Linked DNA regions of Macaca mulatta. The protein of the gene in region 1 binds, or shares a complex with, the protein of each later gene. Links are inferred from orthologs where the notes say so. Each region holds a gene or a part of one and is shown in the gene's direction. Other genes may lie near its edges.

Region 1 (3,669 bases):
GGGACTCACCCTCTACTGTATCCAGGCCAAATCCCAACGAGAGGAAGATCACAGGCAGGCATGCTCCCCAGGGCCACAGACTAGGCACTGCCATTGTCCCAGCCCTGGTTTGTGTCCAGTCCCGGCTCTCCTCCTGGTGACCCTGGGGAGAAGGATTTGACAAGCCCTAAGGGACACAGAGACCAGGGTTCAGATAGGAGAGGGAGGGCAGGGACAGAGAGACAAGGAATCCCACACAGAGAGAGCAGGAGACAGAAAAAAAGAAATGAGAGTCACAGAGACACAAAGACAGTGACAGGCAGCTGGAGACAGAGAGACTCAGCATGAGATTGAGAGATGGGGACAGAGATGCAGACAGTGACAGGGAGAGAGAGAAAATGACACAGGGTTCTGAGCAAAAGGCAGGCCGAGAGGCCAGCCAACCCTGAGGGCAGAGCAGAAGGCTGGGGACCGCTCCCAAGGAGGGCAGCGGGGGTCCCGGGACGCGTGGGACTCCACAGGGAGAGTCTCCCTGGATCCCTCTGGGCGCGCGGCCCCCCAGCGCCAGCTGACCGCGCTGACTGCGGTCTTTCCCAGGGCAGGCACGCAGGGGCCGCGCCCAGCTCCCGCCCTCCCCGCCCCCCGCCGAAACAGATTGGTTCGCAGGGACCTCTCCGTTCTCTCCGCCCCTCCAGCCAAGCCAAAATATTTAGCCTAACAACTGAGGGGAGGACATATCTGTTGGGGAAATAAGGCCAAAATACGGGGGGAAGGGTGGGCCAAGAACTGAGCTTCCTCAAATCCCGCTGCGGCTGCAGCGGGTCCCCCCAATCCTTTGTCCCCACCACAAGCTTCTTCCAAGTGGGGCTGCGCCGCCGGAGGGGCAGCCAGCGCCCGGGCTTCTGGGGAGGACTGTGTCTAGATTCTGCTTCCCGGTGCTTTGACACCTGCCGGGTAACTTCTGGCAGCCTCGACCCGGGAGAACGTGGACAGCCTTTGGCCTCTCAGAGCCCCTCTCAGCCTCCCAGGAGGCCTCCCAGTCCTCTTTGGAGACCCCTTAGCGCCAGGCTCCGTCACCGCCTAGTCCCTTGGTTCTGACCAATATCCCGATGAAGAAGGCGATCACTGTGTGGGGCTCTGCCTCCGTCTGGTCATCTTCTTGAACTCAGGCTGCTTGGTCGGTCAGTGTGTCCCTGTCTCGGGGATTTGGGGGACCATTCATGCTGGGGCCTTGGCGGAGAGGAGAACTGCCAGCCTCTAGGAGGCCATCCTTCGCCTGCTCCCTGGGGCTTTGCCTGTCTCCCTGCCAAGAGAGACCCCTCTTCCCCTCGCTCTCCTCAGCTTGAGACGGATGGGTTCGTGCAGCCACAGAGGCTTGCGCGGTGGGAGGGGTTGGGACCAGCCTTCTGCTGCCCTGGGTGCTGGGGATCCCGGGGCTTTCCAGGTGCGCGGCCACCAAGTTGCACGGTCCTCAGCTCCACCTGCGGGCGGCTCCCGCATCGGAGGAGCTAAGAGATCTATTAATTTCTTCACGAATAAATCGATGCTCTTGTCAGGGAGGCAGGCGATCGATGTCAGCCCGCCCTGCCTTACCCTATCCTGCCCCGGGGCCGGCGCTGGCTGGCCGGGGTCAGGGACTGAAGCTGAGACCTGAGGCGTTGCTGATTGGGGGCTGCAGATCGCACCCCCAGCCACCCAGCCCGGGCGGAGAGCTGGCTCCTTTGCGCGCGGGCTTCTCGCGCCACCCTGTGGCTTCTCTTGGAGGCGCGGTCTTGGCTCTCTGGACTCCCTTCGGCCGGATCAAGCGACCCTTCCCTTTCTCTGCCCGGTCTGTGTCTTCCTCCCCAGGTTCTGCGATTGATCTTTGGTAGTCCTTTTCTTTTCTTCCTAGAGTTCGGAGAATGTTCTACCTAACTTACTCCAAGTGACATGCGCACTCCCCCAGGCACGCGCGCGGTGAGGATGGAGCGCTGAGTCTGGGGCTGACTAGGATGACCTGGACAGCAACCTTTCCTCAACTCAGTTATCTTCCCTCCTCCCCAAATGTAAAAATACAGCTGCTTTAAGCTGAGAGAAATAACGTATCAACTTCCCACCCCCGGCCTCAGCAGACACCTCCGAGGCGTTCTGCTGCGGCCCCTCTGCATCTCCCGGAGCTGGGGGGATCCTCGGGGAGAAGGCTGACGCTGGGGACCCCTAACAGGAGAGGGGGCAGAGTTGGGGGCGTCAGAGGGGAGAGAAGGGGCTGGAGACGAGGGGCGGGGCGGGGCCGGGCGGGGGCGACTGGCTCCGCCCTTTCCTGGCGGCTGGGTCTTTAACACCGCCCAGCGCACATGTCGGCGGAGGCCTGGCAGCAGCAGCTGAGAGCGCACAGACGGCTGCCCCGCCGGAGCAAGGCGGGCGCCGCCGCGATGCTGCGAGGCGGACGGCGCGGGCAGCTCGGCTGGCACAGCTGGGCTGCGGGGCCGGGCAGCCTGCTGGCTTGGCTGATGTTGGCATCTGCGGGCGCCTCACCCTGCCCCGATGCCTGCTGCCCCCACGGCTCCTCGGGACTGCGATGCACACGGGATGGGGCCCTGGATAGCCTCCACCACCTGCCCGGCGCAGAGAACCTGACTGAGCTGTGAGTGTCCGGCGTGCGAGGGGGCGCGGGGACAGGCAGGAATTGCCATGCCCCGAGGGCGCGGACTCTCCGCTTGTTTGCTTGGTCAGGCAGGGCGAGTACAGCGGAAGGCTGGCACGACGCAGCCTTTGGCGGTGCACGGGCGTTCCTCCGCAGCCGCCGATGCCCTAGCAAGCTTTACGGTCACTGCCTGGATGTCCCCTAGTGTTCAGGGCAGCTGGGCCGCCGGCTTCAGGGAGATCGAGGGGAGAATCTCTGGGCACCAGGTCTGAGAGAGCCTAGCCGTCTAGAAGCCGCTTTCTTGAGCTCAGTCAGAGGCTCCTGCTCTGTCCAACAGAGAAAGGTGGTTACCAGCAGAGAAGTCCCCAGTTTGACACCCTTACTACCTTTTCCCTTTTCTAGGGAAAGGGGCAAGCCAGCCCCCACCCACTTCCTTGTTATGAGGAGGCAACCCCAGCTTTTCTCCTGGAATTGGGGATTGAGCTGGCTGGCATTGGTGGGAGGTGGTAAGGAGCTGGGTGGTTGAGCTCTCCTCTTTCCATTTTTACCATTCCTTTCCCCAGAACCCCTTGATTTGGATCTGGGAAATGGGACCCCCTCCTGGATTTTCTCTCCCCACTCCCATCTCCCTCTCCAATCCGGGGCGGGGAGTCAGGGCCCTTGCTGAGAGACCCTCCTCCCTTTGGTACACAAAGCTGGGAGGAATCTTCAGCATTCTGCAGGACTCTGACATTCTGCAGGAATTGGTTACAAAATACTGAAGTACTTTTCAGCAGCTGGTGAAACCTATGGGAGTATGCAGTGATGACTGGCCTGGAGGTACTCAGGCATCACATGGTGATGGCTGGAAAATACTTGAATATTACATATGGCTATCATGGCCAGCAAGACATCTAGAAGAGGGGAGGAACTGCGAGAAAATCCTCCTCCTGGGGCCTGGGGTTTACAGGGTGGACAAGGAACCCTGGCCCCATGCAGTGATGGGCTGGAAGGTATCAAGGTGAGGATCATCAATGTCTGGAAGTTACTTGAGCAGCTTGCACTAATTGGCACTGAGTTACTCGGGT
Region 2 (3,367 bases), about 2.0 Mb from region 1:
GGTTTCACCGTGGTCTCGATCTCCTGACCTTGTGATCCGCCCGCCTCAGCCTCCCAAAGTGCTGGGATTACAGGCGTGAGCCACCGCGCCCGGCCATCTGTGCCCATTTTTACAAATAAGGAAACCACCCCGAAGAGGTTGTGAGGCCCAATGTCACATGGTTAAAGGCTAGACACTGCAAGTTTCCTTTCGTAAGAAGATCCAAGGGCTTCTCCAGCTCCTCAGACTCAGGAGTCAGACCACTGTGCTTTCTCTTATTTGCACTGCCTCACTGTTCTTCAAAACTTTCCTTGTTTAGCCAGGTGTGGTGGCTCATGCCTGTAATCGCAAGATTTTGGGAAGCTGAGGTGGGAGGATTGCTTGAGGCCAGGAGTTCTAGACCAGCCTAGGCAACATGGCAAGACCTTATCTCTAGAAAAATAAAAAAAAACAAAAAATTAGTCAGGAATGGTGACACATGCCTGTAGTCCTACCTACCCAGGAGGCTGAGGCCTGATGATTGCTTGAGCCCAGGAGTTTGAGGTTACAGTGAGCCATGACTGCGCCATTGCACTCTAGCCTGGGTGACAGAGACCCTGTCTAGAAACAAACAAACTTTTGTCTGTTTTCTACAGCAATCTCAGCCTCCTTTCCTCTTTTTCTTTTCTTTTTTTTTTTGAGATAGGGTTTTGCTTTGTCATCCAGGCTGGGGTGTGGTGGCACACCCGGCTAATTTTTGTATTTTTGTTGTTGTTGTTGAGATGGGGTTTCGCCATGTTGCTCAAGCTGTTCTTGAACTCCTGGGCTCAAGTGATCCGCCTCCCTTAGCCTCCCAGAGTGCTGGGATTGCAGGCATGAGCCACCATGCCCAGCCTCCACATCTTTTTTTGCACTGTGTATACTCTTCTGAGACATGCCAACTTTTTCCACGTCAAGAAAAGGGTATATAGCTCTCAGCTTCACTCTTTCAGGGCTGATGTCACCTTTGCCTTTTCCCACTTCACTGACCTGTCTATTCCTGCAACTGTCTCTTTCTAGAGAAACCTCAATGATCAGGACTGATAGGCCACACTCTCCCCTACCATTTTTTTCTCCTTCTTCAAGCCTCTTGTCTGTTTTACCCTCTTCCACCTTGGAGGCTGAGGTCTTATTTGACTCTTCACCTGAATTGACCTTCTTCCTTCCCACCCTCCCAGGTTCGGACTAAGGATCACCGCTTTGAGAGTGTCAGTCACCTCATCAGCTACCATATGGACAATCACTTGCCCATCATCTCTGCGGGCAGCGAACTGTGTCTACAGCAACCTGTGGAGCGGAAACTGTGATCTGCCCCAGACCTCTCTTCCAGAAGATGCCCTCCAATCCCTTCCACCCTATTCCCTAACTCTTGGGACCTCATTTGGGAGTGTTCTGCGGGCTTGGCCTTGTGTCAGAGCTGGGAGTAGTGTGGACTCTGGGTTTCATATCCAGCTGAGTGAGGGTTTGAGGGTTTGAGTCAGAAGCCTGGGGGAGAATCCTGCCTCTCCCCAAACATTGATCACCAAAGTATTAATGTACAGAGTGGCCCTTCACCTGGGCCTTTCCTGTGCCAACCTGATGCCCCTTCCCCAAGAAAGTGAGTGGTTGTCATGGAAAATGTCCTGTGGTGACAGGCCCAGTGGAACAGTCACCCTTTTGGGCAAGGGGGAACAAATCACACTTCTGTGCTTCAGGGTATCCCAGACCCTTCTCAACACCCCCACCCCACCATGTTTAAACTTTGTGCCTTTGACCATCTCTTAGGTCTGATGATATTTTATGCAGAGTTCTTGGGCCCCTGAGTTCAATGACAGGGATGCCAACACCTTCTTGGCTTCTGGGACCTGTCTTCTTGCTCAGCACTCTTTCCGGTTTGGTTTGGGATAACAGAGGCAGGAGTGGCAGCTGTCCCCTCTCCCTGGGGATATGCAACCCTTAGAGATTGCCCCAGAGCCCCCCTCCCGGCCAGGGGGGAGATGGATCCCTCCCTTGCTCAGTGCCTCCTGGCCGGGGCCCCTCACCCCAAGGGGTCTGTATATACATTTCGTAAGGCCTGCCCTCTCCCATGTTGCATGCCTATTGTACTCTACAGCCAAAGTGTAGCCCTTCCTGGAGCCTCTGCCCTGCCTCCCTTTCTGGCAGGGTGGGGTAGGGGTGACTGAATTTGGGCCTCTTGTACAGTTCACTCTCCCAGGTGGATTTTGTGGAGGTGGGAAAAAGGGCATTGAGACTCTTAAAGCAGTAGACAATCCCCAAATACCATCTGTAGAGTTGGAACTGCATTCTTTTAAAGTTTTATATGCATATATTTTAGGGCTGTAGACTTACTTTCCTATTTTGTTTTCCATGGCTTATTCTCGAGCACAAAATGGTAATCAATTATTACATTTATACATCACCTTTTTGACTTTTCCAAGCCCTTTTACAGCTGTTGGCATTTTCCTCGCCCAGGCCTGTGAGGTAACTGGGATCGCACCTTTTATACCAGACCTGAGGCAGATGAAATTTATTTCCATCTAGGACTAGAAAAACTTGGGTCTCTTACCGCGAGACTGAGAGGCAGAAGTCAGCTCGAATGCCTGTCAGTTTCATGGAGGGGAAACGCAAAACCTGCAGTTCCTGAGTACCTTCTACAGGCCCGGCCCAGCCTGGGCCCCTCTTTTGGCCTTGTGGATAAGGGACAGTTGACCGTTTTCATCCTGGACTCCTTTTGCTGTTGTTTGGATGTTTCCACGGGTCTCACTTATACCAAAGGGAAAACTCTTCATTAAAGTCCGTATTTCTTCTACCTCTGCCTCTTAATCCTGGGAAGCCTATTGTGTACGCCGCGGGCCCTTAGCTGCACAGCGGGGAGGCGGGAGGTCGCGGCCGCCGAGGGAAGCTAGGGGGTCTGCGGAGTTTGGGCGCGGCAGAGTGGGGCGTGTCGCGCCACCGTCCCCATGAAGATGTTGTGTCCGGGGGGCGGGGGCTGGCTCCGGGTGCGTCCAGGCAAGAACCCGGACTCCCCGGCGCCGCAACGCCGGCCCCCGGGACTACCTAGACCTCCCAGGCGCGCCCTCGGCTCGCGCGCGCCCCTCCGCGGTGGCTCCACCGCCCGGGATGGTACGGTCCGGCAGCAGGGCCGCGCGCCGCCGCCCCTCGGTGAGCTGGTGTGGGCCGCCGCTAGCGGAAACGACCCTCTCCACTCGCGTGGTGCAGTGGTAAGCCTCGCCCCTCGCCTGCCGCCTGTTTTCTGGCGTGGGGTCTCGTCCGGTCCTTGCTCCCCCTCCCCGCCGCGCTTAGTGGTGGTGGCCGCGCCGAGTTCCGGTTCCGGTTGCTGCAGCCGCTGGCTGGCGGCGAGTGTGGAGAGAGCGCGCAGTTCGCGCCGCGG
Region 3 (3,234 bases), about 15 Mb from region 1:
GAGGTCTGAGAGAGGTAAACCCAGCAGTAGAAAACACAAAAGACAAAGTCCTTGACACAAGAAGACGGAAATAACTCATAATTTACACAAATTTTGTGAGAACCTACTTCATCCTAACAATGACTCTGGGAAATAGTGTTTCTTGCCCACCTCCGATCAATGAGAACACTAAGGCTCTGGGAAATTAAATGGGTTTCTTCTGCTAACAAGTAGTGGAGTAGGAATCCAAACAAGGTTTTCTAACCCCCAGACCCAATGCAGAATTCTTGTCATTGCACTGATTTAGTAGAAGAGAACACACCACACACACACACACACACACACACACGCACACACACATATGCACATACAATTATGCTATTCTGAAGTGCAGAATGGAAAGATATCATTTTTGGTTAGAGTGGTCTGAAAAGGCTTCGAGGACTAGGTGGTATCTGTGTGGAAAGGAAGTAGAATGATCCATGAGAGTGGGAAGGAGAGATGGGAGAAAGGATAGAATTGGAAGTTTGCAGAACACTCTTACAGGAGATATTTCTAATCCAACCAAGAAGATCTATGGAAGCTTTACAGAGGAGCTGATGTTTGCTACACATCTACAAGTATGCACAGGAGAGCCACAGAGGCCAGTGAGAGGCCCTCTAGGAGAACTAATTCTACAACTACTTGACCAAGTGGGGGGATTATTTGTGGGGTAACTGCAGTGCAGTACAGAGTCCTCTTGGGGACAGATAGATCCATACCATTTGATCTATAGTCACATAAGAACAAATAATAAAAAGAAAAGACATGTTTAAGAGTGAAAGAGAAAGGCAGGGAGAAAAGAAGGAAGGGTGGATGGAAGGACAGACTGGCTTAGTAAGGGGTCGACTTTGGATTCTATTTCTGGTTCAGTTTTCATTTATGACTTCAATGCTTTAGTGTTAGTTCATTTTCTGTGAATCAGTTTCCTTATATGTGAAATAAATATGATAAATCCTAATCGAACTCACAGACTCATGAGAAGATAGAAGTGAAAACATTTTAAAAACATTACACAAAGAGGAACTATTATGTGGTCCACAGTTATATATGTGGGGTAGTGTCTGAAGAGGTGCCTGGACTAAGTTGGTCCCAGAGCCACAAGGTTTTTGCCAAACATGATGCTCTGTGAATTCATAACAAGGGCTCCGAGTCACCAGATCTTAGAGCTGACCCAGTGCACTGTCTGAAAGGGGGTACCCAGTGCTGAGGCTTCAAGACATGTCCCCAGCAGATCTCCCCAGTGCCTTCCCAGAGGATTCAGAACTGCTGAGCAGGACAGCACCATCACATCAAGGCACAAGTGCCAGGGAGAGGTGTCAAACTCTCCCCACCGGCCTCCCTGGTACACACATGGACACTTACCACCTCCCTCAGCCTCCTTAAGTGTCAGAGAACTCAAAGGATTCTGTTTGATATTTCCAAGCTCATACTGAACTACTGGGCAAAATTCCAGGGGCTCTGTCCCTTCCTGGAGAAGCCTGGATGGGGAGACCACACATCCATACTGCCTGAGTCAGCCCGGCTTATGCCTGTTGTCCCAGTGTAACCATTGCTAGCACACCCTTTCCCTCTCAGAAATGCCCCAGTTTGAATGAAATCTCTTTGTGATCCCCGTGGGAGGTCAACTCTGAGGGACCCAGAAACTGCCTTTTGACTGCATTTAGTACTCCATGGAGTCACCCTCATTTCTTTTTCATTCCAGGTGCATAGCGTAATGTCCATGTTGTTCTACACTCTGATCACAGCTTTTCTGATCGGCATACAGGCAGAACCACACTCAGAGAGCAATGTCCCTGCAGGACACACCATCCCCCAAGCCCACTGGACTAAACTTCAGCATTCCCTTGACACGGCCCTTCGCAGAGTCCGCAGCGCCCCGGCAGTGGCGATAGCTGCACGAGTGGCAGGGCAGACCCGCAACATTACTGTGGACCCCAGGCTGTTTAAAAAGCGGCGACTCCGTTCACCCCGTGTGCTGTTTAGCACTCAGCCCCCACCTGAAGCTGCAGACACTCAGGATCTGGACTTTGAGGTCGGTGGTGCTGCCCCCTTCAACAGGACTCACAGGAGCAAGCGGTCATCGTCCCACCCCATCTTCCACAGGGGCGAGTTCTCGGTGTGTGACAGTGTCAGCGTGTGGGTTGGGGATAAGACCACCGCCACAGACATCAAGGGCAAGGAGGTGATGGTGTTGGGAGAGGTGAACATTAACAACAGTGTATTCAAACAGTACTTTTTTGAGACCAAGTGCCGGGACCCAAATCCCGTTGACAGCGGGTGCCGGGGCATTGACTCAAAGCATTGGAACTCATATTGTACCACGACTCACACCTTTGTCAAGGCGCTGACCATGGATGGCAAGCAGGCTGCCTGGCGATTTATCCGGATCGACACGGCCTGTGTGTGTGTGCTCAGCAGGAAGGCTGTGAGAAGAGCCTGACCTGCCGACACGCTCCCTCCCCTGCCCCTTCCACACTCTCCTGGGCCCCTCCCTACCTCAACCTGTAAATTATTTTAAATTATAAGGACTGCATGGTAATTTATAGTTTATACAGTTTTAAAGAATCATTATTTATTAAATTTTTGGAAGCATCCTGTGTGCTGACACTGGTTATTTTTCCCAGTAAAATCATCTGCAAGTCTCAGGAAGATGCAGGGGGAATTGTCCGAATTGTCCAAAGTACTCCCTGGCTCCTTCTAAGGCCCACCTGTAACCCTTACCCCACCCCCAGCCAGTGCTGCAACTTCAGAAAAGGCTAACTGGTTTCAGATATTAGAATAAGTCAGGCATGATTAGCAAAGGAAGCCTGCTGGATTGCAATTTTGTTCTACATTCCAGAGCCAAAGCTACCTAATCATTGGATTACCTGCCCACCGCCTGGAAGCATGGGCTCTGGTCTCCTCCCTTGGGGAAGTTAGTGGAGCCTCATCAGGAGGCAGATCACCACTGGGCACGGGGCTGCCCTGGCCTCAGAGGCACAGTCTCAGTTCTGGGGGCACTCGATAGATAGGACGAGGCTTGCACCAAAGATCTGTGCGCTGCTCATTTGTAGGGGAAGATGTGCCGTCTGGAAGAGTTGTAACAGAGTAATCTCATGAGGCCTGTCAAAGTAGATCTGGTTTCATGTTCAGCTGGCCTTAGTACTCATGGCCACTCCTCGGTTTATGCCTCAGCAGCCTCCTGCAGAAAGACTTCATTACCCCAAGAAAACA

The links.
Region 2: the proteins of NTRK1 (region 1) and SHC1 are in contact, whole or in part, in an NMR structure (PDB 1SHC), measured with the Homo sapiens proteins. The link is inferred for Macaca mulatta from reciprocal best matches to the Homo sapiens genes NTRK1 and SHC1. Residues at the interface, in NP_002520.2 of Homo sapiens: His489, Ile490, Ile491, Glu492, Asn493, Pro494, Gln495, Tyr496, Phe497; in NP_892113.4 of Homo sapiens: Met176, Arg177, Ala178, Leu179, Ser259, Ile260, Ser261, Phe262, Ala263, Ser264, Gly265, Gly266, Lys279, Asn283, Arg285, Ile301, Ile304, Gly305, Phe308, Glu309, Phe312, Lys313, Gln314, Tyr315.
Region 3: the proteins of NTRK1 (region 1) and NGF are in contact, whole or in part, in a crystal structure (PDB 1WWW), measured with the Homo sapiens proteins. The link is inferred for Macaca mulatta from reciprocal best matches to the Homo sapiens genes NTRK1 and NGF. Residues at the interface, in NP_002520.2 of Homo sapiens: His291, Val294, Glu295, Met296, His297, Cys300, Pro302, Phe303, Ser304, Leu333, Glu334, His343, Gly344, Cys345, Arg347, Thr352, His353, Met379, Asp380, Pro382; in NP_001424474.1 of Homo sapiens: His125, Pro126, Ile127, Phe128, Arg130, Gly131, Glu132, Phe133, Ser134, Ser138, Ser140, Trp142, Tyr173, Phe175, Arg180.

What each region holds. Positions count from the first base shown.
Region 1 is NC_133406.1:110,063,774-110,067,442, reverse strand, and holds the start of NTRK1 (high affinity nerve growth factor receptor), read left to right. Parts: upstream 1-809; 5' UTR 810-2,312; coding exon 2,313-2,602; intron 2,603-3,669. Other genes in the region: INSRR (insulin receptor-related protein), read right to left, coding at 10-94. UniProt on the Homo sapiens protein: Receptor tyrosine kinase involved in the development and the maturation of the central and peripheral nervous systems through regulation of proliferation, differentiation and survival of sympathetic and nervous neurons.
Region 2 is NC_133406.1:112,039,194-112,042,560, forward strand, and holds the end of SHC1 (SHC-transforming protein 1), read left to right. Parts: intron 1-59; exon of another isoform or gene 60-438; intron 439-1,175; coding exon 1,176-1,304; 3' UTR 1,305-2,791; downstream 2,792-3,367. UniProt on the Homo sapiens protein: Signaling adapter that couples activated growth factor receptors to signaling pathways. Participates in a signaling cascade initiated by activated KIT and KITLG/SCF.
Region 3 is NC_133406.1:124,982,720-124,985,953, forward strand, and holds the end of NGF (beta-nerve growth factor), read left to right. Parts: intron 1-1,723; coding exon 1,724-2,461; 3' UTR 2,462-2,613; downstream 2,614-3,234. UniProt on the Homo sapiens protein: Nerve growth factor is important for the development and maintenance of the sympathetic and sensory nervous systems.